Bombyx mori: one gene and its partner. The protein of the gene in region 1 binds, or shares a complex with, the protein of each later gene. Links are inferred from orthologs where the notes say so. Each region holds a gene or a part of one and is shown in the gene's direction. Other genes may lie near its edges. The genes, in order: kinesin-like protein KIF18A and KIF-binding protein.

What was found.
Region 2: the proteins of kinesin-like protein KIF18A (region 1) and KIF-binding protein are in contact, whole or in part, in a cryo-EM structure (PDB 7RSI), measured with the Homo sapiens proteins. The link is inferred for Bombyx mori from reciprocal best matches to the Homo sapiens genes KIF18A and KIFBP. Residues at the interface, in NP_112494.3 of Homo sapiens: Glu181, Thr183, Gln184, Lys185, Gly186, Arg274, Phe275, Val276, Glu277, Gly278, Thr279, Asn280, Ile281, Arg283, Ser284, Leu285, Leu288, Gly289, Val291, Ile292, Arg314, Lys317, Asp318, Gly322, Asn323; in NP_056449.1 of Homo sapiens: Ser150, Glu151, Tyr212, Tyr213, Gln216, His220, Gln238, Ile251, Asn252, Thr255, Gln258, Asn262, Gly414, Tyr415, Val459, Asp460, Leu461, Asn462, Pro463, Gln464, Leu467.

What each region holds. Positions count from the first base shown.
Region 1 is NC_085128.1:15,385,296-15,402,198, forward strand, and holds the end of kinesin-like protein KIF18A, read left to right. Parts: coding exon of another isoform or gene 1-236; intron 237-610; exon of another isoform or gene 611-1,070; intron 1,071-1,533; exon of another isoform or gene 1,534-3,631; intron 3,632-3,694; 5' UTR 3,695-4,007; coding exon 4,008-4,562; intron 4,563-4,874; coding exon 4,875-5,093; intron 5,094-5,223; coding exon 5,224-5,429; intron 5,430-5,612; coding exon 5,613-5,772; intron 5,773-6,498; coding exon 6,499-6,643; intron 6,644-7,045; coding exon 7,046-7,227; intron 7,228-7,504; coding exon 7,505-8,420; intron 8,421-9,032; coding exon 9,033-9,167; intron 9,168-9,950; coding exon 9,951-10,072; 3' UTR 10,073-13,207; downstream 13,208-16,903. Other genes in the region: Or-36 (olfactory receptor 36), read right to left, coding at 1-236.
Region 2 is NC_085118.1:3,182,630-3,200,050, forward strand, and holds KIF-binding protein, read left to right. Parts: upstream 1-5,879; 5' UTR 5,880-6,775; coding exon 6,776-7,733; intron 7,734-7,845; coding exon 7,846-8,666; 3' UTR 8,667-8,926; downstream 8,927-17,421. Other genes in the region: transmembrane protein 87A, read right to left, coding at 500-560, 1,369-1,458; mesoderm induction early response protein 1, read left to right, coding at 2,115-3,329. UniProt on the Homo sapiens protein: Activator of KIF1B plus-end-directed microtubule motor activity. Required for organization of axonal microtubules, and axonal outgrowth and maintenance during peripheral and central nervous system development.

The sequences.
Region 1 (16,903 bases):
ATTAGCTGCAACGAGTCGATTTTAAATTTGATAATACATTTTAGGTACTGGCTGACGAAAAATAACACGATGACGTAGAAACAAGCGCGTTTCAAAAGCGTTATATTAGTCTTTGAATTCGGGTACCAAATTCCAGTTAAACTGAGCAGTCGTAGATGCGGACCGACTGAAGGGTGTCTAGAATCTTCTAGAAGTGAGAAAAGTGAAATTATATTTTTCTTTGAATTGAACACCATTGTACCTACAGCGAGCGTTTCCTTTGACAATTCGTTATGAAATATAAGGTAAAAATCAACGAGCTACGGGAATTAATTATGAAGGTGATTGCAATATTCCACCTGTAATTATATGATCGGAATAGCGTGGTGATTTAAAATTCGAACTAATAATTGGAAAGGGATTTATTACGTATGCATGTTGCGAAAATTAAATACCCAATACAAATTAATATTGATGTCATGAAATTGTATTTTGTTTTTAGGCATTTTGAAAAAGAAAAAGATTAAGTTTTTTTTCTAACATCTGACAGAAACATCCTAGATAGAAGTACCTACCCAAAAATAGTGTATGACATCAGTTAATTGGGAATTTGAAAAAAAAAAAAAAAAGATTTTTTTATTGTATTTTAAAACTTTATTAGTAATAATAGGGATATTTAATGCAAAAAACTTAAAAATGTTTTTTCTTCAATTATTTATAAAGAATTAAAAATTGATAGAATTTAAGAAAAATCACGTGACTTATAAACGCGCCATGATTGGTTACCATAGTTGTGACGTCATAATGTTATAGCTATTTATTAACAGTACAGCGTTTACGGCTAATACACGTGACTAGACAATAATATTGAAAATTTATTGCTAAAAAACAAGTTGTTAGTTGGTTACGATTCTATGTGTGATAAAGGATTTATTAAGGCAAAATCTGAATACGATGAATACGATGCCCCTGATCTCTTATCTCTTCTGAACTTTAACGTGCCGCTGACGTCGACAAGGGCTTCTAAGTTGATGGTGTTCAGGGTTCCCAGATTCTACACCAACCTTGGTAAGAACGCGCCTCTCAGCAGACTAGTTGGGGAATTAAATAATTTGCATAACAAGTATTCTCTGGACGTTTTTGCTGGCACTGTTGACAGTTTTAGACGAGAAGTCTACAGCCTTACTCAATGAGTTTTTTAAATTAAGTAATAGCGTATTTGGTAGTAAATGTGTAATAATATAAGGTCTTCATGTAATGTTATATATAGTTTTTCTTTGTTTTTTATATAATGAACCGCTTTTTTTTTATGCATGCAGTCGGTACCTGTAATTGTGTTAGCATTTAGTGTGAAATCAATGTATATGATACCTACCTGTAATGTTCTGTGCTGATGTATAACATGTTGGTACCCAATAAATAAAATAAATAAATCTGATAATATTAATCAAAATCAACACCAATATTTTCAACAGTATTGGCTGATACGGCATCAATGTTTAGTTCTTGAGGATTATAAATTTCCATATTTTGGTTGTGATAAGAAATACTTACGTCGAAATGATCTTCACAATGAAAAAAAAAAATCGATTTTGTTTTGGGATTATCACGGTGCACTGCTTGAAACCATTTATTTCGATATTTGTCATCTTGGGAAACATTTAAAAACATTTTTTCAGGAGTTGTCTATGTAGTTTTCATGCATAATGGTACAAAAGAAGAACGATAACTTTTGAGGTTCGACATTTTCTATATAAATATTTGAATATTTAACGATGATAACAAAATTAAATAGATCAAAACACTGTACTTATTACATATATTAAGTGTATAATCTATGATTACGAGTATTTCTATAATATGAACTGCAATGAGGGAAAACTAACATTATGACGTCACACGCGCTCGGGTTTGATCGGGAGCTGTCGGCGTGTCTTCGGTACTGGATTCAAAAATTAATTTTTATTTTGAAATAACTTTTGAATTATTGCGAAAAAAAAATAAAAAAAAATTGTTTTGTTATAAAACTAATATATGACCTTTCCATTTATCACAAAAAAAAATAATTTTCAAATACCCAATTGTGTTATCACGCTATTTAGTTTTAAACTTCCGTGTGCCTCGTTCATAAGTCATTCTAACATTAATTAATTATATTTATCTGTGTGTCACGTGCACATAAAATATAATACCTAAAGGTATAGAAATAAGATGACTAACTGTAATAACAGATTAACCTCAAAATAAGATAGTAATCTTTACACTTTCATCGTTTATGAATACTTAAAATAAACATAAAAGTGAATACTGACAAATAATCATAATGGAATTGTTCCTATTTCCGAAGTTTTAGTAAGAGTGTCGGCTGAATGCTAAGCCTGTCGTTATGTCCAGATAAGATCGAGAGCGGAAATTAAGAGGAAATTGTATTTGTTTCTTATACAGGGATGGCGTCGTAATAAAGACTACATCGTGCCTATCTAGCCGAGGGCGATGTATATATGAATCTATATAAAATTCTATTAACTTCAGTGTTGTTCTTTCGATTTTGTCTCTTTTTTAGGTTTATGTCGATAAATGATGAAGTGGTAGAGTAGGTAGTTCAAACTTCTGTAGTTTAATACCTCGGTGGCATAGGCTCAGTATTCTTTGGCGGAGGGAGGTTCACTTCATTCTAACATGGTCTGTGTGCTTAGTGTGAGTTTTTTAACGTTCTCGATAGCGTAAAAGTTAACTCAAATTGGTATGCAGTTGGAACAGCGCCCCTGGCGGCAAACGTAGGTAAACGTTAATACACTGCTTACTGCCTCTCACACGTAGGCGGAAAGCCTTTTTTATTTATGGTTAAGAATTTGGTGTATGCAATAAAGCAACGTGATCACGATAAAGTTTTGTATATTGTACAGCATCAAACATATGTAACTAAGATAAGTGTCAGGACTAAAAATTCCAGGCAGTGAATTTGTCACATTGTTTATTTTTTATATTAATATAATTGTAAATAGACATGCTTTAACAAAAACCGACTTCAAATAGAAAAAAAAAGATATTCCGAAACAAATTAATATACCTACACTAAAAACAATAATCATCGAAATCGGTTGGCGTGATATTGAGTTATTGAGTTATTCATCTATACGTCGCGCACGTACTTAATACAAATTTAAGACTTATATGGTTTTCTTATGGATATCATTATCAGGACTGGACTGAAATGGGACGACACGGGAAGCGTCAGCTTTCTAATAAAAAAAGAATCATCAAAATCGATTCAACCACTCAAAAGTTATGAGGTAACAAACCTAAAAAAAAATACAGTCGAATTGAGAACCTCCTCCTTTATTTGAAATCGGTTAAAAAGAGCTACTTAAATAGGAACCAATCATTCTTTGATTTTGCACCGTATACTTTTTCAGAGTACTTAGAACCGGAATGAAATCAAATTTATTAATATTAATATAATAATAAAATTAAATTGTAAAAAAGACATGGAATTATGTGATTTGAGAGAAGGTCTAGAATATAATTAAATTCATTGAGTTTCCTACAGATTTTTATTCCCAAGCCGAAGAGATAGACAATGTAAAAACAAGCAAATGCAAATTTTATTAATACTACATTAGACTATTACTTTATTTTGTCTTATCACTATTAGTTATATTTGACTATAATTTATTTTAGTTTAATTTTACTTTTTTTTAAAACTTCATTTCAGATTTAAATGACAAGACTGTATGAACTTAGTTCCGTTTGCTTGCTCAGGCAGAAATATCAAATAAAAAATGCGCTAGTGTAATGTGTAGAACAGATATGTCAATTCAAAATTTTGACGGTTAGAATTTTGAATTTTAATAAAACTTCGTTTCTGTTTGTGAAGAAATAGTCAAAAATTAATTAAATAACTCGTCCAATTGAGCGAATGTGATGCAGAAAAGGCGTTATTGTTTGAGTGGCGGTTGATTGTACTCGTGTGGATTGCTAGAAGTGTAATCTCATTTCATGATAAAGTTATAAAGTGCGTTGGAATTATGGTGAAAATAGAGAAGCGGCCCGTCGCTACGGGTTTTAAAGGCTCTGGTGGTGGAATAGTGCCGTCTAAATGCGGTTCTACACAAAACATGGCTGCGAACATCAAAGTTGTAGTGAGAGTACGTCCTTTGAACGAAAAAGAGTTGGATCTCAACAGTCGCGTTGTTGTAGACGTCGTAGATGACAAAATGTTAGTGTTTGACCCTAAGGAAGAGATCAGGCCATTCTTCTACCAGGGTGTACAGCAACCGAACAAAAACTTTTTAAAACGTGCTAATAAAGAGTTGAAGTTTGTTTTTGATAATGTTTGTGGTCAAGAAGCATCGAATAAGGACGTTTTTGAAACTACAACGAAAGATATGCTTGCGGCTCTGATGGAAGGCTACAATTGTTCAGTATTTGTGTATGGCGCTACTGGTGCAGGGAAGACATTCACTATGATCGGCAGTAATGAGCACCCTGGCATAACTTACCTGACCATGGAACATCTGTTCTATACTATTAATCAGTTTGAAAAGGAGAGGGAATTTGATATAGGAGTCTCTTATATTGAAGTAAGTTTTTAAAATACCACTTACAAAGTTATCAGTATTATCTTGTCTTGGCTATATACCAACTGTTGGTTGTTCTTTGGAATGTTAGTGAGCCCCATTTTTTTTTTAAAAGTCTTTTTATTTACTTTATGTTTTCTTCCTTTACTTTTTATTTATCAAAATGGAAATTGTGCTCTTTTGTTGTAAAGGCACAATTTAAATATAAATTAAAATGAATAATCACTAAATTGTCTAGTTAAAATGTTAACTTCTTAAATATTGTATTATAACTGATTTTTAATTAAGTTTGAAGCATAATTACTTGGATTTTAGGTATACAATGAAAATGTATATGATCTCCTTAAACCTTCAAAAACTCCCTTGCAACTTCGAGAGGACTCAAAGTATGGTGTTATGGTTGCCGGTCTGACACTGAACAATATTAAAACAGCTAGGGAACTCCTTAACATGCTTGAAAATGGAAACAAGAACAGGACCCAGCATCCTACAGATGCAAATGCTGAGAGTTCAAGAAGTCATGCTGTTTTTCAGGTGAGCATTAGTAACATGTTAGAAAATGTGGGCTGGTAAATTTGTGTATAACTCAATTATATATAATTTTTTTCAATTTCACAGTGTGAATGTAAATTTGTATTTTTAATATTTCTCATTTTATTACTAGGTATATGTAAAAATGAGATACAAAACTAGCAGTCAACTACGTCTTGTTAAGCTATCAATGATTGATTTGGCTGGAAGTGAGCGAGCTTCTGCTACAGGTTGCGTGGGAGAGAGGTTTAAAGAAGGTGCCAATATCAACAAGAGTTTGCTATCGTTAGGCAATTGTATTAATAAACTAGCTGATGGAAGCAACTACATTCCGTACAGGTAGATTATAATTAATTGTTTAAACTCAAAATTGTACTCTTATTATTACTCATGTCATTAGAGTCAGTTGGCCAAAATTAGGCCAAAAACTTACAATAATAAAAGAAGCCCAAAATACACTGTAATGCACTGAATCCCCTATTTTTGTTCAACATAGTTAAGTTTAAATAATAATTTTTTTAGAGACTCAAAATTAACTCGGTTGCTAAAGGACAGCCTAGGTGGTAACTGTAAAACGGTGATGATAGCAAATGTATCTCCGTCAAGTGTCAGTTACGAAGATACATACAATACTCTCAAGTATGCAGCTAGAGCTAATAAGATTCAGCTCAGTATTAAGAAGGTAAATATTGATTACCCTATATCAGGATTCACTTCATATTTGATGAAGTCCATATTATGTTTTATAAGAAGAATTGAAGTCGTCGTAGCCTAAAGGATAAGACTCTCAGTGCATTTGTATGAAGCGATGTGACTGTACCAATGTTCGAATCTGCAGGCATGTACCAACTTTTCTAATGAAATATGTACTTAACAAATGTTCATGACTGATTGCCACAATTGAGGAATAACATAGTGTAATAAAAATCAAACCCACAAAATTATAATTTGCATAATAACTGGTGGTAGGACGTCTTATTAGTCTACACAAGTAGGTACCACTACCCTGCCTATTTCTGCCGTGAAGCAGTTATGCGTTTCGGCTTAAAGGCTACTGCTGCTTCACGTATTGTACTATATAACTATGTAGATGTTGGTATTTAGATTGTTGAATTCAATGGGCTCTGCTAACCATTTAACACCAGGTGGGCAGTGAGCTCGTCCACACATCTATTGATTCCACCTAACGTTCTTGGACCGTTTCAGATCCTAAATTTATTCTTATCTAGAATATATCTTTGATCAAACTTTAAAATAATAATGTGTTATTGTTCATTACTTTTGATATGTTATCCATATCTTTTAGAAATTCTAACGTCCGTTATTCTCCTAGCTATCCTACAGCGTCTTGTATAGCCGTAGCCATAATTCACAAGTGTTTTAAAAAGTATTTTTCTTTTTTAACCAGAACATTGTTGACGGTGACATGCGCTTGTCACAATATGTGAAGATTAATGAAGAATTGAAAAAGAAAGTAAAAGAGTTGGAAGCCAAGCTGTCTTTGTCTAGCGTTAAAAATGTGTCAAAAGAACCTGACATGGTGAAGGAGAAAGGTAAAAATGAGAAATATTTTATTTGATTTGTCATTACTTGTTAACTTTCGTTAATTCATTTACATTACATTTGTCATTACTTGTTAACTTTCGTTAATTCGTTTTTATTTACCAATAATCGATTCTAGTGTTTTGACAACACTATGTAAAGTGGTAGTAGTATGTTGTGCAATTTATGGTATGTGACACGGTTCAGGCTATGTAATATTTTGGGCTCAGGCAACTAAGATTTTATCAAATATCAGACCAAATAGTTGCATTCACATTCTGTTGAATGTGAGCGTAAGTAATCACCTAACACCAGATAGGCTTCAAGCTCTTCATATAAGCTAAATTAATAAAAAATAACAGATTGTGGCATGTTTATTTTTATAATTTAATTTGTTTATATTAAAAATATAGCGATAAAGGAATGGCGGCGTCGCATCATTGACTGCGATTCTGTTCATGCTTCATTGGAGACCGAATTATTGAACTTGATGTCGAGACAACGGGTGCTGGCCTTGCGACAGCGTTTACGGACCAGAGCATTCTCGCATGTCGCCGATCTAGCGCATCGATCCTCCTACGAGGCAATGGAACAGGTAAAAACAAATTATATTAATTTTGGATTTGAAATCTGAGTTGGATACAATATCATTAACATCATATAATTTGGGAAACTGGAATGGGCCATAGAATTTCTCAAATCCTAAACCTAAATGACATTTTGAAAAAGAAGCCCAAAGTAATAATGTTCTTTTTAAAAATTTGTTAAAATTTTCAATTATAGTTATATTGTAAGCACTTAACTAGACTTATGCTGGTATTCCTAAGGTATTACCGTTTTGATTCAGCTTGAATACAAATTTATTAATTCAGGTTTGCAATGAAGATATACCGAGGCAAGAAAGAGCAGCTGAAAGCTACATAAAACAAACGGTGCACTTAGATTCTCAGATAATGTCGACTTGGACTAAATGGGATGACAGTCGCAAGAGACTACATGTAGTATGCAATCAAGCTGTATCTGACTTCACTGAATTAGCTGATTTTGTGGAAAACATACATTTAAAGAGTGAACTTAGACATATAAAGGCTAGAGATAACCTCAGATACAAATTATTGTCCATTGAAAATGAAGAAATCAATGCCTTCACTGAATATATGAGCGAAATGCCAAGCATGCTTAAGAAATTATATCTAACATTAAAAGGCTATGACAAAGCACCCCCAGCTTTGACTGCTGAATATATAGAAATAATGAAAAAAGCGAAATTAGCTAAGGCCATCACATGGTCTGACAAAGACAGTGAAATCGATTCTAATTTCAAATTCATATCGAGCCTAGATATACAGAAGCCAACAACCGCCATAGACTACGACAAGAAGGATGAAGGCAACATGACCATAGACATAATGACAGACAGTGATGATTTGACCGACATTGAAAACAGAGAGCCGATTAAAGTTCTTAAACGTAAAGGGACGCCAATTAAACTGCCAAATAATGAAACCATATTAATTAATGACTCCTTTGAAAGTTTGGATGCGACCAGAAATCTTAACTCAGCCAAGAAAATCAAAAGGGAGAAAGAATTTGACATTGCTCCTGATATTGAAAACTACAACGTAGTAGATCCTAACGATTTGAATTCTACCTTTGTGTTGGCGGGTAAAATGGACGCATTGAGGAAACCAATCAAGACCGAATCAAAAGTGGAAGTACAACCAGTCAAGAGAGGACTCGTGGATAGGACTAATACTATACAAAGGACAATTAACTTCGGTGATAAGGGTGAGATGACAAGTTTTTTTATGAGTTACGACTCTGCGAACATCTGTTGTTCGCAAGTATCCGCAAGAACTGTTGCACGCTGCGTTTCGAGATAAATAAATGTTCCACCAGAGTACAACTTAAAACTATATTTATCACTTAGAACACTCACAGAACACTTTAAAATTCTTAATTCACTTCTTCCGCTTCGCTTCGGGTGATCCGTTCACTGTTTCGCTCCGAGTAGTTCCGATTACTAAATCACTCGTGCCATCTCTGCAACGCTTTTATAGTCGATACGACATCCCTAGATTTATTGAAAACATTCCTCACAAGTCGAGTATTTTCGATGTGCGTTTCCGCTATCTGACAAGAGATGGCGTTGTACATCTCGAGCGTTCTAGTTGTTACTAGATCCTTTGATATTCGTTTCGGCTATTCGGCGATAGATGGCGTTACTCTTACCGACGTAACAGTACTATAAGACTTTTTCTTGATATTTATTTTAGCATTGTTTTTGAATTATGTATATTTAATGAATCTAATATTTTTACGAGTTACAAAGTTATTATGAATTCTATTTTAAAACGTGGACTAGTAAAAACAGAGTAAAATGGTAATGTCTGTCAGCAGCTAAGCTAGTGAAACCCGTAGTGGGTAAAGCGATACCGTTCCGGCGGCCCGGCCCGCAGCCCGGCGCGCCGCGGGGGCCCGGCTTCGGGTCCAGCCTGTCCCGCGACGGAACTCCGCTGCAGAGGAACGTGCAAGGTAAATGTTAAAATAAATGACGAAGATTTCGGTCATTGTGTTTAACCTGGCTAGTACGGCTAGGTTAATTTCTATAAAATGATAGTATAGTTTTTGTTGGTGGTAAGACCTCTTGTGAGTCCGCGTGTGTAGGTACCACCACCCTACCTATTTCTGCCGTGAAACTGTAATGCGTTTCGGTTTGAAGGGTGGGGCAGCCGTTGTAACTATACTGAGACCTTAGAACTTATCTCAAGGTGGGTGGCGCATTTACGCTGTAGATGTCTATGGGCTCCAGTAACCACTTAACACCAGATGGGCTGTGAGCTCGTCCAACCATCTAAGCAATAAAAAAAATAAAATTATATGTTAATATCAGGAACATTTCATTAGTTAAATTTTAATTTTTATTTAAACATTTTATTAATTTTTTTTTTATATACTTTGTGGATAGACCTAATAAAAATACAAGCAAATCAACTCACTATAGGAGTAGTAAAATGTTTTACATGACCGTCTCTCACATAATGAACACACCCTTAAAATACTATTAATGAATTAAGATACTCTTTTGAATTCTAATGCTCGTTTGAAAGCTTACGAAACTGTTTGACGCGACTGAACGTAAAATCTAACGACAACTAACCATTTGTTTTTCATGTTTGTGTTGTTCTGTGCCGTCCTGTGTCCTGTGCCGTCTTGTGTCCTCCCGTGCCCTGTGCCGTCGTGTGCCCTGTGCCGTCGTGTGTCCTGTGCCGTCGTGTGTCCTGTGCCGTCGTGTGCCGTCGACTAACAAACTAACAGACGCGTCTCGTACAAAGACGAATGTCACTCAAAAGTCAGTTGGTTTCAAAGCCGTCCGCGCGAGGGAGCGCGTGCAGAACCACCCCTACTCCAGGCCGCCCGCCCTCGCCGCCAGGAAGTGAACGGAGCACCACGGTATAATGAAGACGTTGTACTGTGTATGTGTTGTATGTTAATTGTGTAATTACTAAACTGCCTTCACACGTTGAGTTTTTGAGTCGAATCATATAGATAACCATATATGGGCAGTTCTTATAATACGCTTTTATTAGCTTCAGACGTATGTATGTATGTTTGTAACGGAATCTTTGAACATGATTTTGACCCCCTTCAAAACGTCGGATTAACTCGAAATTTGGTATACTTATTAAGGACCGATGACAATTCAATATTTAAAAATAAAATTGAAAAAAAATTAAAAAAATTAAAATTCAACTAAAAAATGAAAAAGATTTTTTTCTATTTTTTAGTTGAATTTTCTATAAAGGCGTATTTTGTTAGTTTTTTTAAACTATTATTTATTTCTCAAGAACTTACCTCAAAACATTTTGCAAGGGAATTACTCGAAAACAAAGCGATGACTCTTAAAAGGTGAGTTAGTAGTAAACGATTGTAAACGAATTCGTTGATGGTACTGAGACGGTGACCTATCCCGAATGTTGATGCTGAAACTTTTACAATGCAATCCAGTGGATTCGGACAAACATACATTAATTATTATTTATATTCGATATTCGATTTGTATTCGACGATAACTATTCGATTTGTAATATTAATTTTGTTACGGAAGTGATAAAAACAATTTTGTTACCGGATCAACCAGCTCGCACCAACCACTCACCTTCAGGTGGGCCGTATGCTCGTCTGCCTACACGAGCAATAAAAAAAAACGTATATACGTAATAAGAGGATTATCACGTCGCGCCGCTTTGTCGAAGTAGGCGCCTGCCCTGCCCTCGCGACTGGACCCTCCCACTGCCTCGCGACGAGGGCAGCGGTACATTCTCGGGTAGTCTCCGTGGCACATCCTATCTCCAGTAAATTGAGAAGCTCCCTTCGTTTCAGCTCTGAACACCAATCATTTTGATCAACAAATATTAAATCTTGTATACTTTAACGCTTTTTTTTTATGAAAAAGTGACTTAAAACAACGTTATTCATTTTCACACTAAATATTAATTTAATGGAGAAAGTTTGTTGTACTCAAAATACGCTTCGATACTTAGTTTTATCAAGGTCGTGTTTTGAGACGATAAGAAAACCGAAATTTCATTTGTTATTCCAAAGCAAAACTTATCATTTTGAGTAATTTTGAATAATATACAATCGAACAAAACTTTGAGGTCTATAAACTCTTACTCATAATGTGTTTAAGAGCTTTATAAACCCGTTGTAATAATCATGACAAAAAGCGTTATCTGTCTTCTAATAGGCTAATAATCTTCTAGTACTATAAATAAAACTTAATAATTATTTGTATATTGGTTTGTCCTCTATGTGTTGCAAAAATATTCATGTGATTGCAACGAAACTTGGAAAATTACTGTTGTGTTTCCTTCACAGTACCATCAACTGATAACAGGTGGTGACCTGGGAATACTTTCAAGAAATCAGTTTTTTATAGAAATCAGCGGTAGGCGTGACCGAGATTCGGTAGTTTTTCATTTAAATGTATAAAATCATACGGATAATTCGACCCGGTCAATACTCATAGAACGAGTTTACAAAGCTCGGATATCTAATAATGAATAAGACCGTTAAATTGAAGTGCCGACCGCTCGTGTGACGCTTCCCGCTAGGTTAACGCACGGTCGTTGACCTCGAGCGTCAGCTGATCGCAGGAATATTATATTACCGTCTCAGGATTATCAGTACTGTCATAGCATTCTCGTTCTTGTGAGCGGTTTCCTTGCGCCCCGTAAACACGTTTGGACGTGTACCCCAGTTTAATTTACGCGATGTCTGATTTTGTCGTTACTTGACGCCCATGTCGTATCTTGTAACTATACTTGAGACCTTAGAACTTATTTCTCAAGAATATCTCAAGGTGGGATGTCTATGGGCTCCAGTAACCACTTAACACCAGGTGGGCTGTGAGCTCGTTCACCCATATAAGCAAATAAAAAAAAAATGCAAAATTGGACATCCACTTTGTGTCAAGTTTGTCTCAAAGAATCGAAGACCGAGAACTAAAAATAAAACTGTTTTTGTATGTCACTGAAAATAATACAACATACTTAATTATCCATTATTGTTAGTTATAAAATAAAACTTTTTTTTTTAAATATTATATTGTAATTTTTATGATGGCTTTAAACTTTATAATTCAGAGTTTCAATAATTTGTAAACTTGTTTTTTTAACGCGGCAACAACGTGTTTCGTAGAGTTATTTTTTGATAAAAAAAATACGATTGTGTAAGTGTGTTGCAAGATAAAAGAATCACTTTCTTACATCTAACTGTCAAACCATTCAGAAAAGTATGAAGAGTATATTTATGACCGTGGAATGAATTTAATACTCAAACGTTTTTCCTATTATAGAGATGCGAAATACACAGAAATAAATAAATAAAGCATTTTATTGCAGTTGCTCATTAATGCAACGTAACCTTTATTTATCAGTGTTCACGAGTCATATTTTGTCAGTAATATCTGTTGACAGCTTGTCAGCAATACCAGTCTCTAGTTTGTCAGCAATATATATTGACAGCTTGTCAGCAATATTGGTCTCTAGTTTGTCAAAAATAGCAATTTGACACTAAGATTTCCAACATTCACTGGAAAGCTAATCTACGTGGCCTATAATATTCTTACTAGTTGAACTGCAAGCATCTTAATACATACATATATCATACTCAGTTTGTAGCGTTTACTAGCGTTATTTGATATCTTTTATCTTGTATACAAGCAAACTTCTGTGTTATTGAATACTTTCTTTATAATTTCAATGTATTTTTATTCAATATTTGTATGTACCTTACTTATATTCTAGAAAAGTCTAGTGTAACGCGCCACTAATATGAATTGATTAACAATAACTTGCACTAAGGAACGAAGTAGATATATTTTTCTATGTTAGTATAGTTGTGCACTAAAGTGCCAGTTTTGACAGTTTTGTGTGTGTTTATTAACTATATTGAATAAAATGACTGAAGTGTATTAAGTATGTTTTATAATAAGAATATAATTTATGCAAGTTTTTGATATGAGATTGTGTATGTAATTCGTGTGAAAGTATTAAATTTTGTAAATATTTGTTTTGGTATTTTGCTTTATTAGTAAAAGTCATCCAAGTTGCGATCCATTAACGGTGCTTTTAGGAACCATAAGCACCGGTCACCGTCCTCGTCGAACCCGTCGCTTGCGACGAAGGGTTCGACGAGCGAATTAACCCACAGACACAGCCCACTGAGTTTCTCGCCGGATCTTCTCAGTGGGTCGCGTTTCCGATCCGGTGGTAGATTCTGCGAAGCACTGCTCTTGCTAGGGCCAGTGTTAGCAACACTACGGTTTGAGCCCCGTGAGCTCACCTGCACACGTTAGGGCGAAGGTGAAATATCCTCTCAAGGCTCAAGGCATAGGTAGGGAAAAAAATCCAAGTTCTGTCATGAAATAGTTTATTATTTGTTGAAACTAGTCATTCACGTTTTGAATGAAATAGTACATACCGTAATAAAAAAAAAAACTTTTCTGAGGTGCCAACAATTATTGCCAGTCAATCGGATACACCACGTGTGAAAGCATCGACTACAACTACGGAATAGATAAATCTATTGATAAATCTATTCCGTGATAAGAACGATTGTTTTTTTTACATTTAAAACTTTTTGAAGAGCCTTGTTACTTACCCGAGGCTACGTATGAGACTCGAAGTTCGCGAGCATCCTTTGCAAGTGCAATTTAATTTTTGAAAATCCTAAGAAAGGCCCAGCAAAAACTCTGTCCTTTAGGCCCTGGCTTTAAATGACATTGACACTATTGTTCAAAACGAAACACAAATTAATTAATTCTGCGATGTCTGGTTTAGTCTCGCGAGAAAGCATGTTAATCTATTTTGCAAAAATACTGCACCACATATATGTATACCGGTGTTATCGTACGCAAAGCATCTTGAGCAATAGGACACGAAAGCAAAATCTCATACTGAATTGGATAATGCTTTGAGATAAATTCTCCTCGGCAAGCCTGGGATTAGTAAAAAATCAAGGGAATAATGTAATGATTAGATAGTGGGAAGCTTTATTGTGTTACATTAACGTAGATTATATGATGATAATAATAATTAGCTCTTAGACTAGAAAAGTACTTGTTATCGCTGAGCCCCCAAACTCGGCATCTCCGGTGGACTGTGAACTCTCTAACTGCCCTACTTTTGTTGAGAAAAGCAAAGGATAAATTACCCTTAGTACCTTCCGTGCTTGATGATAGAATTCTTAAACAAGTTTAATCGTCCTATAAATTTTTGTCTAGATTTTCCAATGCAAGTTCTATCATAGCTAAAGAGAGTTAGACGTCAAACCGGTGGTAAAATTTTAACCCGATCAAACTTTTCGACCCCGAAAGGTTTGTGAAAATAAAATCAATATGTATCGGTGCCTTTTAAAGCGAAATATTCAATTTAAGATTTTTCATTTTCTATATTTGCCGCTTGAAGCAGGTCACATACGACGTGCATACGTTTTAATTAAATTTACTTAATTCATCTCCGGGTACGGCGCTGTGAGAGTGTCGTATCTAATTACGGCCAGGACAAATTGAAGGCTTTGAAATGCACCCCTCATGCACTTGTGCTCTCGTAGTGCAGGGAGGAATGTATTCTGAGTGTTTACGGAATACCCTAGTTTTATTTACGTCGCTTATACTGGTTTCATAGACACTATTGGTTGGATGAATTATATGTACTAGTGGTGGCCCGGTAGTCGAAATTCGACTATAATTAATCGAAATTATAAGTTTGTAAACTATTAAGATTCTATTTTCAAAGACTATTATACTCCTATAATCACGAATTTCGCCAAGACTACACTATAGACAAATATTAATAAAGACAAACAATATTTGATCTATTCTCAATTTGACAACAGACGTTAAGAACAAAAGTTTGTAAATAAATAGTATGCGTGTGTGCGTCAAATACATGGTAATGTGTGTAATGTTTTCTTTATTGATTTATTGTAGCTTTTATGCATTATTTAAAAAAATATTAGCATTGTGCACTTCTTCTCTATATTCTCTATAAGTGTGGAAAATTTCATACTCCTCCGTCCGCGCAATTTTCGTAAAGGGTACAACATTTTTGCTTCACGTATTAATCTATATATTAATACGTGAAGCAAAAACTTTGTATCCCTTTTGGAGGAGTATGAAATTTACCTTTCCTTTTGTTCTTGACGTCTGTTGTCAAATTGAGATTAAATATTGTTTGTCTTTGCTAATATTTTTATAGTGTAGGTACTCTTGGCGAAATTTGAGATTATAGAAGTATAAAATACAATCATAATAGTGTACAAACTTACAATTCCAATTAATTATAGTCGAATTTCGACTACTGTGGGACCTCTAGTATATAGATTATTATAGATGTGTTTATATCACGCAAAGATATTTAAGTTCCGAGAAATAGGATCGTCGGTCTACCAAGCAATAAAAATCCGTCGGAGGAAGATCGTCACTTGGTCTTTTGCCTATACGTTTTTATTGTGTAACAGATTTATCGCGGTGATTTATTACAAGGTCAAAATTTGGTGTCATAGATTTACTGGAGCTCATAGACATCTACAACGTAAATGCGCCATTCACCTTGAGATATAAGTTATTAGATCTCAGTATAGTTATAACGGCTGCCCTACCTTTCAAACTGAAACGCGTTACTGCTTCACGGCAGAAATAAGCGTTGTGGTATCTACCCGCGCGGACTCACAAGAGGTCTTACCATCAGTAAAAAATATTTGTACTTAGTATTTGGTGTTTATTTTTAGTAGAAACAACGGTAATAGTGAGCCTGAGTATTAAGTTTTAAAAGTACATAATTTATTTCTTGTGTGAATTTAAAAACCATTTTAATTTAAGTAACATAAGCATATTGATATACCTAAAACAATTAGAACGAGAATTTTTTTCAACATTTATTCATATAAAACTATTCGATAAAACGATTATTTCATAAGTAATCTTGAAGGAGACAACCGCGCGATTATAGTCAAAGTATCTATTTGATAGTGTTCTATTCAATTATCTTTCGAGATCCTATCTTTGAGTCTCGTCACTAGAATGCTAGACGTTTTAATACAAGAATAATGTTCCCTCTCTAAGCTAAAGACTACAATGTAGATAAACACTTAACTGTAGTATTGTGTACTGTGTTATTGTACGTCAACGGAAAATACATTATCTATATATTAATATCTGTTATTATAGAAGTATGATAGTCTTTGACAATAGAACCTTAATAATGTTCAAACTTATAATTTCAATTAATTATAATCGAATTTCGACTACAGAGTGACCACTAGTATACAAGAAATACGTAAGCATAAAATTATAAAAATACATTAAAAAAATGTGAAAATATCGAATGTTCACGAAAATAGTCCCCGTTGTTTACTGAATGAGGTATCCTGTTTTGCTTTAGAATGAGTTTGTGAAGTGGTCGAGTAGTATAACAACTGATTATCCTAGTTTTATGTAGTTCTGTTTTTGGTTTTAATTTAAAACTTTAATGGAGTTTTAATTTATTGCTTTGGCGGGAGTCGTAGGAATTGTGGTCCTTTGAAATGTTTTAGCCTTTAGTTTTATATTTTAGCGAAATATTCCGAACTCTTTTTCACGGAATTTAATTCCTCAAATATCTTTGCTAATGATGTTTGATATTCGCGGTATCATTGTAGTACTTGCTGCGTATATGTGGGACTCATAAAAATATGTTTGTTTGGGATCATAGGAATTCGTCGGC
Region 2 (17,421 bases), on another chromosome or scaffold:
CATACTTTAAACTGCCAAAAAGGAAAGCAATCGTTTTCTTAAGCTGAAGATATATCTCACTATTAATTATCCCGGGAAAAATAAACCCGAAAGTGGAAATCTTGTGGATGTTGAAAGGCCAAATTTCTCCTGTGGACTATCTATAATTTAAAATTAGTTGATACTTTATGAATATCAATTTAAAAACTCCCTTCTACTGACCGAACTCTATAATTTAAGGACATCAAAAAATTAGGCAAAAACTTGGCTGTACAATCACTCACTATCAGGTGGTCCTACAAAGGTAACAAAAAAAGTAATAGTGTTACAATCTGCTTTGGATAATCTTTTTTTTTTAAATAAAACCTCATTCCCGTTTTGCCTCTCCTGTTGTACCTTGCCTTTGTGTGCCAAGATATAGTTGATTCAGTTTATCATCTGATTTAAGAAATTTGTAGTAGTTGATTTATAACAGATTTGTTTGTCACTTATTTTAAGAGCATTAATAAGTAATACTTACTTGCAATTATAAGCTTTGTATTCTTAAATAATGACTTTGCTAATGTGAAATGACAATCATCCTGAAACCAAAAAGTATATTGCATTACTGGGCATATTATGGTTTGATAGGAACTTGGGTGGTTCAGATTTCACAAGTAGAGTAGATCAGATTACATCCCTATGGTGGTGCAACCAAATTGGCAACTTAATGCCTATAAAAGGTAATTTGTCAAACAGCAAGTCTTATCTTGGGCTAGATTTATCCTAACCTAGTCTAATCTTATCTCCTTTCTTTTCTTCTTTTTGCTAACTTCTTTTCTTTCCATATGTCCCATAATAACTGGGTAACTAAAATCTATACTTAGGTATTTAAATTATTGGTATAGACAATAGATCTGTTATGACACAGCTGCTCCCAGTTGAGGATAAGATCAATTGGTTTCTAAAGTTTTGAAGCTATTTAATAATATTTGTTAAGAATATTGTAAGATTACTGCTTGTAGTATGTTTCAAACCCTGGCAGAGTTTCATCCTCAATATAAGTACATGGACCTTGTTCTCATTAAGATATGATTGTTATTTACAGTTATTACAGTTAATTATTAGTTTAGTTTCACAGCTTTTGGCTTGGGCCAAGGCTAAAGGGAGCCAAATCTACAGTTTTAACTGAAAATCATGTTTGATTGGACTATGTTGCAGCTATACCAGGTTATTATTTTCATGAACGTACACTAAGTAAAGATGTGACAATATTATCGTCTCTTTTTTTTTCAATCACTCAATTCTGACGACACGTTCAATACTATTTCTGTATCTATTATTTTTATCTAACTACCGCAGCTACCCAAGATAATTATGAAATTAAACTGAAATTTTATTTAAACTTACGCCACTAAGTTCCAAATCCCACTTTCCGACATCGGAAAAACTGTGCGTACATTTTACAATTACAATAAAAATAAGAAGCTTAAGAAACATTGTAAATTACATAAATGTACTGTAATATTATAAATATTTCATTGCAGTCAATATGTAACCAAGCAACATTTTCCAATAAAAATCTATTTTTTTGCATTAAGCCACAACAACGAATAATATGATCACCGCGCTTAGAATTAACTTTTCTGACATTGATTGATATTTGACAAATGTATGTGTTTTTTTGACAAAATATACATCGCGATAACTTTACAACCTATCTCCTCAAATATTAAGTGCATTATTTAAGATCTATCTGTAGACGTCGTTTGTTTACTTAAGTCAAGAATTATTAAATATTACTTAGATATTCTCTACTATAATACTCCATTTAAAAAAAAACATTGGCTTTACATACCCGTTGAAAATAATGAATTTTGTAATTATTGCAAAGCTTAGCTGTATGGTCAACGTCCTCTTGCCTGATTTTCAAGAAAAACAAAACGACCCACAAAAAGTAATTTGACATTGTGGTTGTCGTGTCAAAATATTTTTGTTTTGTTCTTGGAATATTTAATAAAATAATCGGTTATTGTGTTATTATTCTAATGTTTTATGTTTACTTTTATTACAAACCGTACATTTTGTTACACCTAAAGACTATTTATCATAATTAATGAAGTTAAAATTTCATCCAACTTGTTACTGTATTAGTCATGTCAGATTGCGCGCTGGTTACCAATGTAAGCGAACACGATGCGAGCATGGATGTGGGGAGCGACAAGTCTCTATTCGAGCCTACTGTTGATATGATGGTCAATGATTTCGATGACGAGAGAACTTTAGACGAAGAAGAAGCTTTAGCTGCAGGCGAGCAACAGGACCCTAAGGCCGAGCTCAATAGCCTTCAGAAGGAGGGAGATATGCCTTTAGAGGAACTCCTGGCTCTGTACGGTTACGACAGAAACATGGAAAAGCCAATTCCTGACCAAGTTCCAGAAGTAGTTCCTGAGGAAACTGAGAGAACGGAGAGGGCTGAGAGGACTGAGAGAAATGAATCTGCCCTTTCCCAATTATACAATGAGAATGCAAACCCTGAAGCTACTAGATGCCTTCGGTCTGGCTCAAGGCCTCCCTCTGAGGAGGAAGATGATTATGATTACAGTCCAGATGAGGAAGACTGGAAAAAAACTATAATGGTTGGTAGTGACTATCAAGCTGCTATACCTGAGGGTCTATGCAGCTATGATGATGCATTACCTTATGAAAATGAAGATAAATTACTATGGAATCCTTCTATTCTTGATGAAAGAATCACTGAAGAGTACATGCGAAAAGTGTGTGCTCTGAATTTAGGCACCGGGATTGAATTAATTCCAAAAGGAAAACAGCTTCGTGATGATGAAGAGGCCCTGTACTTATTGCAACAATGTGGCCACAATGCAGAGGAAGCCTTGAGACGGAAACGCATTTCTGCACAAACTCCACCTCACGCAAGTCTTTGGTCAGAAGAAGAATGCCGAAATTTTGAAAATGGCCTAAAAGCACACGGAAAAGACTTTCACTTGATAAGGCAGAACAAAGTACGAACTCGGTCTGTCGGAGAACTCGTCCAATTCTACTATATTTGGAAAAAAACTGAAAGGCATGATATATTTGCAAATAAGGCTAGATTGGAGAAGAAAAAGTATACTTTGCATCCTGGTCACACTGATTACATGGATAGGTTCTTAGAGGAGCAAGAGGCAAGTGGAGGAAGTGTGGTGCGACCTGCATCTCCATCGCCCATGATGGACTATGCAACCTCTCCTGTCACTCAACCCGACCCTCTTGCTCTTGGTGAGAAAGAAGTATTTTCACAGTTAAATACACATAACACACCCCCGAGGGCCATGTCGACAGAAGAACCAGAAGCAGACACTGGACCGTAATTTTAATTTCTCACTTTGTAGAATGCACTGTTTGTAATATACTTAAGTAAATTTTAAATTAGAAAGATAAAAAAATGCTGTAATATGTGTTTAATTCTGTGTTGATTTTATTTGAAATAGCTTTTGCTAAATTGTATATTTCAACCTAAATAATGAATATAGTTTATAGTTTATATGTCAATATTCTTACTGTAGACTTAAACTATAAGCAGTGGTTGTTTATGTACGTTAGTATAATAATGTTCATTGAAAAAAATGTAGAATGAAGAATGTCTCACTATAATCGTTGATTCAGGTGTATTGTTCAGTAACCGTGAAGCATGGAGCAAGAGCTTGTTTTTAAGTCACAAAAATAAAGTAATTTTTAAAAGTTTAAAATTCTTTAGGAATATTATCCATTAATACCTAATGTAGGTTAGTATATAAATATATCAATCTTAATGTTAAAAAAATATAGGTATAGAATTCTATCATTTTCTGTAGATGTGTATTAAGCTCTTGTGACATAGCTTTCAAGAAATCAATTTTAATGATTTTACATATTTAATTTTGGATTATCCAATTTGTAATTTAAATTAGTAATTTTCTAAAATCTGTATACTCTTTATAGACACAGCTATTGTGTTCATTAATTTTCTTAACAATGCAAACTATAAAAGTGAGTAAATGCTTGTGAGATTGTACACAGCGAAGGCTGCTTAGTCAGGGATGACTATAGATTGTTTCGAACAACTACTAACATAGATAAGACATTTAGAAACTTATTTTTTTTAACACCTATATGATACACAGACCTGTTTTTGTTCATTTTTTTTTAACACCTATATGATACACAGACCTGTTTTTGTTCATTCCTCATCTGCATGGATGCATAAATTAAAAATCGCCTATCTTTTGTTTGTTATTGTACACATAATTATTATTGTATCCATAAATAGTACCTAATTTTCTAATTTCATATATTAAATACCAATCTCAGATTTAATTCACTGTTTCATACATACAGATAGATAGGCTGCTGAAATTATCAGGGTTTATTTTATTGCCATTTTGCTATGGGATTTTAAAACGTAATAGACCTAAAATAAGATAAATTCCCTTATTCATAAATCATATTGACATTAATTATTTCTACAGTATTTTTATATTTCTGACTGGATTTTATTTAAATGAATGAGTATGGTGGTTTATTAGCATTTGATTTGTACAATGTACAAAATAATATTAATTTGTTAATAATATTTGTGAATAAGGGAGTAAAATAATTAAATTATGAATTTATGAATGTACCTGTCTATATCTAGATGGGTGTCGTATAAAATTGTGGATTATTTCATGAAAATAAACAGTGCAAAATGTTTTTGTTTATTTCACACTAGCTTTTGCTCGCGACTTCGTCTGCGTGGAATAGTTACTTTGGCATAACGCTAAATTTTACCCGCCTCTTCATTTACGTAGAAAGTGAAAATATTTTTGAATAATAGAATGTTGAGGAGTTATTTAAGGTACCAAAATCCCGTTTTTTATCCGACTTCAAAAGAGAAAGTTATCAATTCGACCGTAATTTTTTATTTAGATATGTTCATGGATTCCTCGAGAATGCTTGAACCGATTCTGATAATTCTTTTTTTTTTTTCTTCCAAAAGGTAGACTTCTCGAATGGTCCTGTTTACAACAGATTGATGATCGGATCTTGGAGAAATCCAGAAAAATCTTTAATTGTCAAAGCCTATCTTGAAGTGGTTTGGGTGTTTCAATGTTGTAATGAATAACGTATTTATTTATCATCTTCTTTATCAATATCATCTTTGTAAAAACACCTTCAGAAATAATGCTTTATTTTAGAACAAATTTGTATACCATAAAAACGTTATAGTGAGCCAACCTATATAGACATCGAGATTATATTAAATACGTACGTATAATGTACGTAGTACATAATATCTCGATGTATATAGACCTAATTATGCTGTCGCGGACTTTTTTTTAGATCTTTTAAAGGGGAACAATTCTCTCATACATTACTTTAGCGAAACTTAAACCGCAGCGCACGCAGTGGAAGCTCTCAAAAGGAACTAAAACCCCGATTTTGAAATATTCCTCATTGGTGCTCCGCTTGCATTGGTCTTAGCGTAATGTTATATAGCCTATAGCCTTCCTCGATAAATGGGTTATCTATCACTGAAAGAGTTTTTCAAATCGGACCAGTAGTTCCTGAGATTAGCGCGTTCAAACAAACAAACTCTTCAGCTTTATAATATTTAAAAAAAAAGTATAGATAATAATATCTAAGTTTGGAGCCATTAAAATTTTTAGTTACACTTCAGAATCGCTGTAGACAGTGACTACGGTCCTCCCTCTTTCTCTGAAGGAGTCAGTGTCAAGACAATTTTCTCTGAGTCTGAACAAATATGCATAACGCAGTTTGCGTCACTATGTCACGCATGAGAGTGAATTCCTTACTTTGTTTACTCAACTAGGATTTTGTGATGTGTAGGCTACGTTACCCCATTATAATGCTTCGGTAACAATTCTATTTTTTTTTTTTAGGATAGCTGTTGGCCCGAAAGCCTTTCCAGTTTCACCAGGATATGTGGGCGAGCAAAGGCTCAGCCAAGAGGGATGGGATTTGCTAACAGCTGAACAAAGGAGACCTAACAACTCCAGAACAGCTGCTTCGCGGATGAATGTACTATCGGATCGGAATCGCGATCCACTAAGAAACAGCGGGCTGATGGATGGGTTAGGTTACACGTCTAACTCTTTGCCGAGTACGATAAACAGGTTCCTTAAGCCAGTTCCTAGTGTTAGAAACAGTTCAACATGCGTGGGTTGGTTTACCTACTTATACTAATAAATACAAACGATGACATCTTAGATCGAATGCAAAAGGTAATGAGCGGAGGGGCTGTCGTAAAAAGACTGATGGACTGTGTGAAATAGGATATACGAGAGAAGTGTGTAATTGCAGAGATAAAGTATGATAGATCTGAGAGGAAAAAGAAGGCATTTTGCACCGATTCCAGATGTGTAGTAAGCATGTGACTCCGATAGTGAGTTATGGGCAAGAAGAAGAGTAGAATCGAGTAAAAATCAATAGTGTTGAATATCGATATAAAAATAAATTCCTAGAAACTACATTGTAACTTCACTAGTGTCAGTTGTTTAATTGTTCAGTTGTCAAAATGATTTTTAAACCTTGAATTTCATGAAATTTTCTCCACTCGATATGCACGTAGATACTATCAGTATGATTTTCACATAGGATTTTTTCTAAAACATTTTGTACGAAAGGTGTGTGAAATTTGAACGATATTTACTGTTAAACAATATCTGTTAAAATAGTTGTTGAATTTGATCTTGCAATTCATTTCACAACATCATACAACCTATGTTGTAACGCCGCATACAAATATTGATTGAAATTTCATTGAAAGTTCGAAACCATGACTAGAGAAATGAGTGCTAAAGAGATACTTAATGATTTTAAAGAGAATTATATTAAATTCCGGAAGCTACTTGACGAAGACAGCAAGAATGATCCTGAAAATGCACCATATTTTTCTAAGTACAAAGCTAAAGAAATATTGAATAATATGTATGTTTTTTTAAAGACCTTAAAGACTGAAGGTTCCCCTGTCGATGATACCAAACTCGATGCTATGATCGGATATGTTTTGTTGAACATTGGTATAGTAGAAATGGATACAGAGGAACCTACTGCTAGTGAAAAGAGTCTCAATGAAGCTGTTGATCTCCTTCTGGAAAATGCTCTAAAACCCGAAATAGTTGTGACACTTATTAATGTCTACAACAATATTGGAATCTTATGGTCCAACAGAGATGACCCTGAAAAAGCAAAAGCTTCATTGGTTAAGGCAAAAACTTTGTATGAGGACTTTAAGTGCACTCTACAGATGCCATTACCTATAGAAGTCATTATAAATTATGTTGGGGAAACTTTAATAGATGATTTTATGTATTTGGAAAAATCTTATACTTTGACCTTGTATTATTTAGCTCAGGTGTTTGGTGTGTTAAAGGAGAACTTGAAATCAGCAATATATTGTCATGTAACATTAAGGAGACAGCTGGAATATAATGATTATGAACCTATAGACTGGGCATTGAATTCAGCTACATTGTCACAGTTCTTTGCTGAGCAAAATGGGTTTTACCAGTCAAGGAATCATTTAGCAGCTGCATCAACAATCCTTGATCAATATAAGCAACTGTTGGAGGCTGCAGTTGATCAAGATGAGGAATACTTAGCAAAACTAGAGACTTTTAAACATAGGTCTGCAGATGTTGCTAGGTGCTGGGCCAAATACTGTCTTTTATTGATGATAGCTTCAAAAACTAGGCTACTGGATGATGATGAAAAACTATCAGAGTCTATTACAGGTCAGTTATGCATCTAATATTTCTGTATTTATCCCCTTGTCTTAATTTTCTTAAATCTATGTTTTATCTTTGAAATTTTAAAATAGCTTTAATATAAAACTCTTCATTTCAGATATGTCAAACCTCAGCTTAGAAGACACTGAAAACATTTGTGAAGGTAATCTTAAGAAACTGACTTTTCCGAATCTCGATGTTACAAAATATGAAAGCAAAATAGGAGATAAGTACCTCCTGACTTATGAAGATGCTAGAGCAATTTTTTTAAGTTGCCAAAACTGGTTGAACCAAGCCAAGGAATATTATAAACTAGAAACGTTGGCTTCAGATTATATAGAACTTATTTTAGATAGCTCTCAGGCATACAATAATCTAGCATTTTTTGAGGATAATGATGATCGTAGGGCTAAAATGTTGAAGAGGCGAATTGATATGCTTGAAAACTTATTGAATGAAATAAATCCTACATATTATTTACAATACTGTAGACAGATTTGGTACGAACTCGGTGTTGTTTACACAGACATTTTGAACATAAAAATAGATAAATGGCCCAAGAGCGAAGCGACAGTTCAAGCAAGAAAAAAAATTGATTTGCTATGCAATAAAAGTATTGAAAGTTACACCAACTTTATTAATTCGATAAACGATAAAAATGGAAAAGTACCTGCAAAAATTGACCAGGAATTAATAAGACCTCTGATAAATGCTCTTGTTGCAGTCGGTAGGAACAGTATGAAACGCATGGCTGTAAATAAAATAAACCAATTGTGCCATGTTCAGAAAAGCCTTGATTCATACCAAACTGTTGTGGACATCTGTGATACACACGAAGAAGTTGCAGTGATGTTCACTGAAGAGTATAAGTTATGCCAAGAAATGTGTCAGATTTTACCTTTAAAAATCAAGAAGTTGCAAACCGAAATTGCTGGATAGAAGAAATAGTTGAAACTAAAGAGTTTTATGAATTATTGTATGGTTATTAATAAGACTTGGTTTGCTTCATATTTAAAATATAAAAGTAAAAATCAATTTATATTCGCAAAAGTAAACATTCATTATTTTATTAAGTAAATGTTTTATGATCTCGATTACATTACATATTATTAACTATGTAATCATACCTGGCCAGGCTTTTGTTTGGCTTTGTTTGAAATTAATAACTTCCAAATTAAATAGATTTTGTCACAATTAAATGGGTTTTTAGTATAATCATGCTCGAAAAACGAGCTCTTTCTGAAATTAAAAATGCCTATGTTACTCCTTGAAACGTCGGCTATGTCCGTTAGTTAAAGCTCGTTCTGTGTGTTAAGTGCGAGATTTTTAACGTTTTTGATAGGTAACGTAAAAGCTAACTTTAATTTGTATGGCGTTTGAACATTTGCCTACGTTTGCCGCTAGGGGCGCTGTTTCAACTGCATACAAATGTAAGTGAATTTTTACACGATTGAGACCGTTAAAAAACTCGCACTAAGCGTACAGATCGGTACTAGCGTTACAGAGATTAGCCAAAAACAGACTGACTTTTTTTTTTTCTCTACCTATGCTGATTGCCTTGAGAGGCTATTTCAGCTTACCCTAGCGTGTTTAGGTGAGCTCACGGGGCTCAAACCGGAGAGTTGCTAACACTGACTCTAACAAGAGCAGTGCTTCGTAGAATCTACCACCGGATCGGAAACGCGACCCACTGAGAAGATCCGGCGAGAAACTCAGTGGGCTGTGTCTGTGGGTTAATTCGCTCGTCGAGCCCTTCGTCGCAAGCGACGGGTTCGACGAGGACGGTGACCGGTGCTTGTGGCGCCTAAAAGCACCGTTAATGGATCAGGAGGATCCGTAATGACGTGCTTTGGGCGACGTCGACGGTTTACCATTCGGTCTACTGGGTCGGGTATGTAGTTTCCAGCGGCCACGATGAGAGGGTTCTCATGTCGTGCCGTCTTCTCAAAATGGCGCAGCGATGCCGACTGTAGGTACTTACTAACTGAATCGAGCTCCAGGTCATCGTGGAGATCCACGTTCCTCAGGAACCATGGTGCTCCGACGGCTATCCTGCAGAATCGGGATTGAATAACCTGAAGGGATTTCAAGTTGGTGCGGGCTACGTGAGCGAACACTACGCCTGCTTACGTCATGACGGAGCGTATGCAAGTTTTGTAGAGAGTTACCTTATTACGGAAGGACAGTTTGCTTCGACTACAAAGCATTGGGTAGAGTCGTCCTAGTATAAACGCGGCACGGTCGCGTAACGTTTTAATATGGGGACGGAATGTCATCCCTCTGTCGAGGGTGACGCCTAGGTATTTGACCTTCGAGACCCACGGTATGGGCTGGCCAAAGAGAGTGATGGGGCTAACGGCGGAGGTGTTTGCGCGCCTATTAAGGAGTGGGATGCTCGAAGTGGTACAGCCTGACAAACACGATTTTTTTCGTATTCTAGTGATGTGATGTCGATGAGCGACGTCGACCACTCAGCATCAGGCGGGCCATAAATATTTTCATACGAATTTAGATGCTATTATGAAATTTAAATTTAATAAAAAAAAAATCTTGAGTTATGTGTACCATGACATGGGGTAAATTGGGATCCTGGGGTAAATTGGGACAAACCTGCGGAAGATTCTCAAAGTACCTGTAGCACGGAATCTACCTAATTTTGTTTATGTTAATATTTATCAATGTATAGAAGAAAAACCAAGTTAACTATGGAAGTACTAAATATGAGTTAAGTAGGTCCCAAAAATTCGTCAAATTAAATTGAAAATAGTGGTTGAAAAGTGCGTTTTAAAACAGCTTACAGAACTTTTAAAAAAAGTAATATTATCGTTGTTTTTTCAATAAGATCACAGTTTATATAAGTTTTTAATACACCTGGAAATACCACAACAAACGGTAAGTTGCAATATTCTTATTTTAAATACAATATTTCGACAAAATAAAAAATGTATAATTTTTCCTTTCTTTTTGGGGAAAATTGGGACGTATGTAGGGTAATTTGGAACGAGACTGGAAAAACTAGGGACGAGAAAACACAAAATTGGAACGCCAAAAGACAAAATAGGGATGGATTGTTAGGGTTGTCACTGATATCTTATAATAGATTTTTTAGCCTATACTATCACTCGATTGCGTGATGTAAAGAAGGTTAATGTGTTTATCAGTTAGTTTATGTAAGTACTATAGGTAAAAGAAAAGTATATATATAATTACATTTTTTCGCGACATTTACCTTATAATATCTGCCTGGTCGTATGTCCTTTATAGCAATAAAATAAAATTAAAAATTAAAAAGAACTCAAACGAATCAAAACTTTTGTTATTTCAGAATGATTTTTTTAACATTCACAACGCACATACAAATAAAAACAGGCCTCAGATTTTAAATGTAACATTAATTAAAAATCCGAGATATCTAGGTTCCAATTATGAATGAGTGAATTAATTGAGTTTAGTTATTTAGCTTAGAAAGAATTTCTTTTATTTTTGTTATTATAGGCAGTAATCAGATAAATCTGCTTTTTTATCTTATTCACCTGATATCTTACTCTTGCTCAAAGATTATTTTGAAAATGTTGATTAAATAAAATTGTATTATTGCATTTCCAGTCCTTTTGTTTTCTATTTTTTATTCTATTTTATCATTTGGTTTCAGAGTTGTGATTTTTAAGGAAATTAAATAATAATTTTCTAAAATATAACATGCACATACTTTTTTTGATCATTGTATTGTTGATTATCATTCACGTCACATCGCTTCGGAATAGAAACCAGCTTAATTTACACTATGTTGTGTATTGTGCTTAAATTATGGATTGTATTCATCATTTCGGTCCATATAAATAATTGTATGGCACCTACCTACCTACCTATATATCGCAGTACCGCGAACTGACAACCCTTACAAATATCCCAATTTAACCCTTACCCGTGTCAATTTACCCCAAATGCGGGGTAAATTGGGATGGCCATTATTTTTCCGATTATTTCTTTAAATTGAATAATTAAAATAATGTAACGGTTTTTATCACCTAGGTACGTTCAAGACTCAACTTATTTCTTTGGTTGAGCAGTGACTATTTAATTGGAACTATGTTAAAATTCAATCTGAAGTTCGATTTTGTCCCTATTTACCCCATTTTACGGTATCTACCTAATAAATATGACTACATTTAAGAGGTGAATGAAGTTAGCCCCTCAAAAAAATTTTTTTTTCCTGTTTTCTACTTATTTTCTATTAATTCGTTTGTTCATCATTTGTTCTTGATTGTTCACTGTTAATAATTGTTTGTTCCCCATTTATTTATTTTAAAAAAAATATTAAAAATATATCTAAAAGTTAGCCCCTCGATTGCAATTTTTAATATTTTTTCGTCCTTAATTACTCGTAAATATTCATTTTCGATTGTTCTTATATAAAATACGTTTGTTCTCTTTCGAAATTACTCATTTTTTGTTTAATTAATTGTATTAGTTGAATAAATGTATACAAAATATGTGTACTGCGCATGCCATAAGTGTATAATCTATGGCGCATGCGTCAACTATAATCTCAAATATAATAAGTGTATAATCTATGACTATAATGCCTAAACTTTCTACGCGGTTTTAATCGTGAAAAAAAAAACAATTATAAATCCTGAAGGATCAATTAATTGGTATACAGTTTAATTAAAAAAATAAAGAAATAAAATAATGTGCATTCGCGTAAAGTTAGACCAAATACATTTTTTCCATCCTCCTATATACCTATCGCTATGAAGGTATAAAAAAGATAGGTTAAGAGTTCACATAGGTAATATAAACAAATAAGTAAATATGTTCATTATTTATCTTTCAAGAGATAATGTAGGTATACATTATAATAACATTTTGACACAGTCGAAATTATATTCCTAACATTAGTAAAATAACATTTTAATATTTTTTTTATAGGTTATGTATTGAAATTGTTGGAAAATTATTTCATGTTTTAGCTGGAAAACGACATGGAGAATTATATGCAATACAAGATAATGAGCTCCATCAAATGAATTCGAATGAAACCAAACTGTTTACCATCCAAATTCGATTGTCGGGCAGATAGAAAACGAAAATTCACTCATAGTGAACCTCGGCCTGCATTTGTGAAACGGCAAAGACTCACTATTATCGAGGAAATTGAAGAGACGACTAAAAATGAGATGTGTCGTATTATTTATACCTTTGCCATCTTGTAGTCAAGGTAGGTGTAACTGTCAATAATTAGTTACACTCACAGATCTCCTAATCAAATAACAATATCAGAAAAAATGAGAATAGTTAGTTAGTTAGTGGAAGTAGCCAAAATGGGCAAGTGGATCTCAGTTCCTATTACATAAGGTACTAGGAAGTTTGTAAAAATGAAAATTTATCACAGTGTAATATCACTTACTTACTTTAACAGTGAAGGAAAACATTGTGATGAAACCTGCACACCTAAATGTTCTTAGGATTTTCTTAGGTGTGTAATCCACCAACCAGCACTAGGCCAGCGTGGTGGACTAAGGCCTAAAAACCCTCTCAATGGTAGTGAAGGCCAGTGTCCAGCAAGGGGATATATTATATGGGCTGATGATGATGACTAGGAAGTTAAATACTACTACTACTACTACGACAGTACACATATAATCCTATATATTTACAAACTATATGTTTGTTGGAAATTGCTAACATTATTTCATATTTCCAGATGTCCAGCCACTTGAAAATAGGTGTAGTAATGACAAAGCTATCCAAGTAGCTCCAGCACAGGAACACAAAGGCAAGGCAAGTGTGTATTGCCACATCACCCCTTAATATATCTGAAGCAAGTATAAGTAAACAATCAGAACCAGCAAAAAAAAAAAACTGTTGTTCCTGAGGACAAATTTGACAGTGATGAGTCAAATGCACCAGCAACAGAAGGATCAACTGTTGACTATGGGTTATAGAAGAAGAAGATTAATTAATAAATATGAATTAATTTAAATTATCGTGCAAAATTCGTGGTCAAAACATATGTGTATTTTATAAATAAATATTCATTCTCAGTATTAATGTTGTTTTAATCATCGATTGAAAAATTGGTTCTTAATGAATTTAGTTGGAGCTAAATGCTGCTTGGAGCTTAATACTTTCGAATAACATAAACACGTGACTTTAAGCATAAACATATTTTTTAGGTAAATACTTTATTTAGCTTTGCTGGATTTATCCAAGATTTCGACATACGAAAATTTCATACAGGAACGACGCTATCTGATTGAATACCCTTATAGAATTGAGCTTCGAAGAAAAGTTTATTCTTATTCTTTATTAGACTTTATTCTAGTTGCAGTGTCGGTTAGAGAAGCTGTGCAAGCTTCTCTAACCGATACTGCATGGAATAAATAGTCATTATAATTATAAAATATATTTCTGTTTACATACCATACAATTTTCATAGTTCAAATATGAATTTGGATTGATATGAATTTATTTCGATTATCAAAATAATTTGTATTAAACATTTATATTTCCTCAAAATTTCTATTTTTATAATAATGACTGTGACCACCCCATAAATCACAAAATTAAAAATATTAAAGATAACTTATTTTTAAATCATATATTAAAAATTATAAACAGATCGCGAATTAAAATATTATATTATGCCTATCATTCTTAAATAATTCAGTAATGAATTTTCGCATCGCCGCGCCGTATATAATTAATATGAATAATAGGGTATTGCCCACTGTGCTAAGAAAAACATAAATTATGTTTTTTTGATAGATCTACAAACAAGCAAGTGAGTAATGCTATGTTTCCATAAATAAAACGGCAAAAAAAAATTAAAGAAAGATATTATGCACAAGTTCAAATGCATATGTATTGTGCTAAAAGTAAAACTTGCTACTTTTGTGTAGCATCCAGCAACTTTGAAAAAAATAATCAGGTCACTATAATTAGTAGGTATTGATTTTGATTCCGAGTAAGTTGCACAGTTGTTAGATAATGTAGTTTCTTTTTGGAAGAATAACAATTTTCTAATCTTACACAAAAATGTAATGTTAAATATTTAAAAAAAACTTTATACCTATTTTCCTTTTAGGGAGTACAAAATATTGATGTGTACAAAGTGAATGTGATTTAATAAAAATAATATTTCAATTTAAATTATGTTTTATTAAAAATTATTCTTAACATACAGGTACAAAGGTTACATAACATTAATATTTATTCCTTTTCATATATATAAGCCCATATTTAGCACATTTGTGGAAAACCGAATTAAAAATAATAATGAGTTGCTAGCCATAGAAGACCAGCATAAAAGTCTTATTAAAATCTGTTCAGTAGTTTTTGAATGAAGAGTGAAAATACTTACAAAACTTCCTATTTATAAGTAAGGATTACTTATTTAATTAAAGAGTTTTGTAGGTGGCAAACTATCTAAAAACTTTCTATTTTCCACCAAGTTGACATCAATTATCCTTCCTGCATATATATTTATTGTATTGTTTTTTTTATAGTCTAACAAGGGGTGATATTACATTTGCAATTTCTGGGAGTTTGTTGAAAAATATATTGCTTGCTTGACTTACAGATAAATCAAAATCATCAGCCAATTGAGAGAATGTTCTATTTAATGTTATTCTCATCAGACATAATATAATATTTTGTTCAGAAACATTTGTATGTTTCTCAATCAAGCCTATTATGAAACATAATTCTTGTGGAAGACCAATATATAAACGTTGTTTATTTTTCACTTTAGATAAACTTGTTAACACATTCATTTTTTCAACTTTTTAGTCTTCTTGAGAGCTATAGTCTGAAGTGCACAAGTCTTTGATGGAGTGGAGATATAGAGAGATAACTCATAGTCAACAGTTGATCCTTCTGTTGCTGGTGCATTTGACTCATCACTGTCAAATTTGTCCTCAGGAACAACAGTTTTTTTTTGCTGGTTCTGATTGTTTACTTATACTTGCTTCAGATATATTAAGGGGTGATGTGGCAATACACACTTGCCTTGCCTTTGTGTTCCTGTGCTGGAGCTACTTGGATAGCTTTGTCATTACTACACCTATTTTCAAGTGGCTGGACATCTGGAAATATGAAATAATGTTAGCAATTTCCAACAAACGTATAGTTTGTAAATATATAGGATTATATGTGTACTGTCGTAGTAGTAGTAGTAGTATTTAACTTCCTAGTCATCATCATCAGCCCATATAATATATCCCCTTGCTGGACACTGGCCTTCACTACCATTGAGAGGGTTTTTAGGCCTTAGTCCACCACGCTGGCCTAGTGCTGGTTGGTGGATTACACACCTAAGAAAATCCTAAGAACATTTAGGTGTGCAGGTTTCATCACAATGTTTTCCTTCACTGTTAAAGTAAGTAAGTGATATTACACTGTGATAAATTTTCATTTTCATTTCATAAAACCGCGTAGAAAGTTTAGGCATTATAGTTGACGCATGCGCCATAGATTATACACTTATGGCATGCGCAGTACACATATTTTGTATACATTTATTCAACTAATACAATTAATTAAACAAAAAATGAGTAATTTCGAAAGAGAACAAACGTATTTTATATAAGAACAATCGAAAATGAATATTTACGAGTAATTAAGGACGAAAAAATATTAAAAATTGCAATCGAGGGGCTAACTTTTAGATATATTTTTAATATTTTTTTTAAAATAAATAAATGGGGAACAAACAATTATTAACAGTGAACAATCAAGAACAAATGATGAACAAACGAATTAATAGAAAATAAGTAGAAAACAGCAAAAAAAAATTTTTTTGTGGGGCTAACTTCATTCACCTACATTTAAGGATGGGTTTTGAATTTTGCATCCACATTTCATTAATTGTTAAACTGATGAGATACGGGGAATCAAGTTCATACAGCCAAAGGTTCGTATAAACGGCTGTACGGTGTAGGCTTAGTATAACATCACTCTATTTCGGTAAAAACACAGAAATGTAATAACATCAATAAAAAACTAAAGTATTTTGAAATTATTGCTTGTCGGGATTACATTATGTAGGTATGTATGGGCAAAATATAATACTATAATTATTTTACTCCAATTGCCCAAACACGGTTATGACTTTCGAACACCATCGCACTTCCCGCGACAGCAGATTTATCATATCATATGCTCAGCTGCATAAAAAGCTCATAAATACTTAGGTACCTAATTCTTTACTACGCTCTGTGTATGTAATGTCTCTTTGACGGATTTGAACATATGAGTTGCAACTGGATTCGTCTGTCGTGGGAGTGACTCAAGGTTAAATAATTTCAATAAGTTATCCACGAAATAAAGGAAGTACATATATCCATTATTCAATTTATTCTATAAAATGGAACATAAAACTAATTTCTTTTAAATTAAATATCTAAACGATGTGAAATAAAATAAAAACATTCAATATTAAACTAAATATCTTAAGATTTACATTTCCATTTAAAACATTTTTATTCGTTTATTTTGCAATACCATCAATTAGCTTTGTCTACTAGTATGAGGGAATTTATAAGAACTATTTTACGAAAATTTAAAAATTTAAAAGGTCTTCTTAATCTTTAAGGAAACATGGGGGTCACCGTCCTCGCCGAACCAGTCGCTTGCGATGAAGGGCTCGACGTGTAAATTAACCCACAGACACAGCCCACTGAGTTTCTCT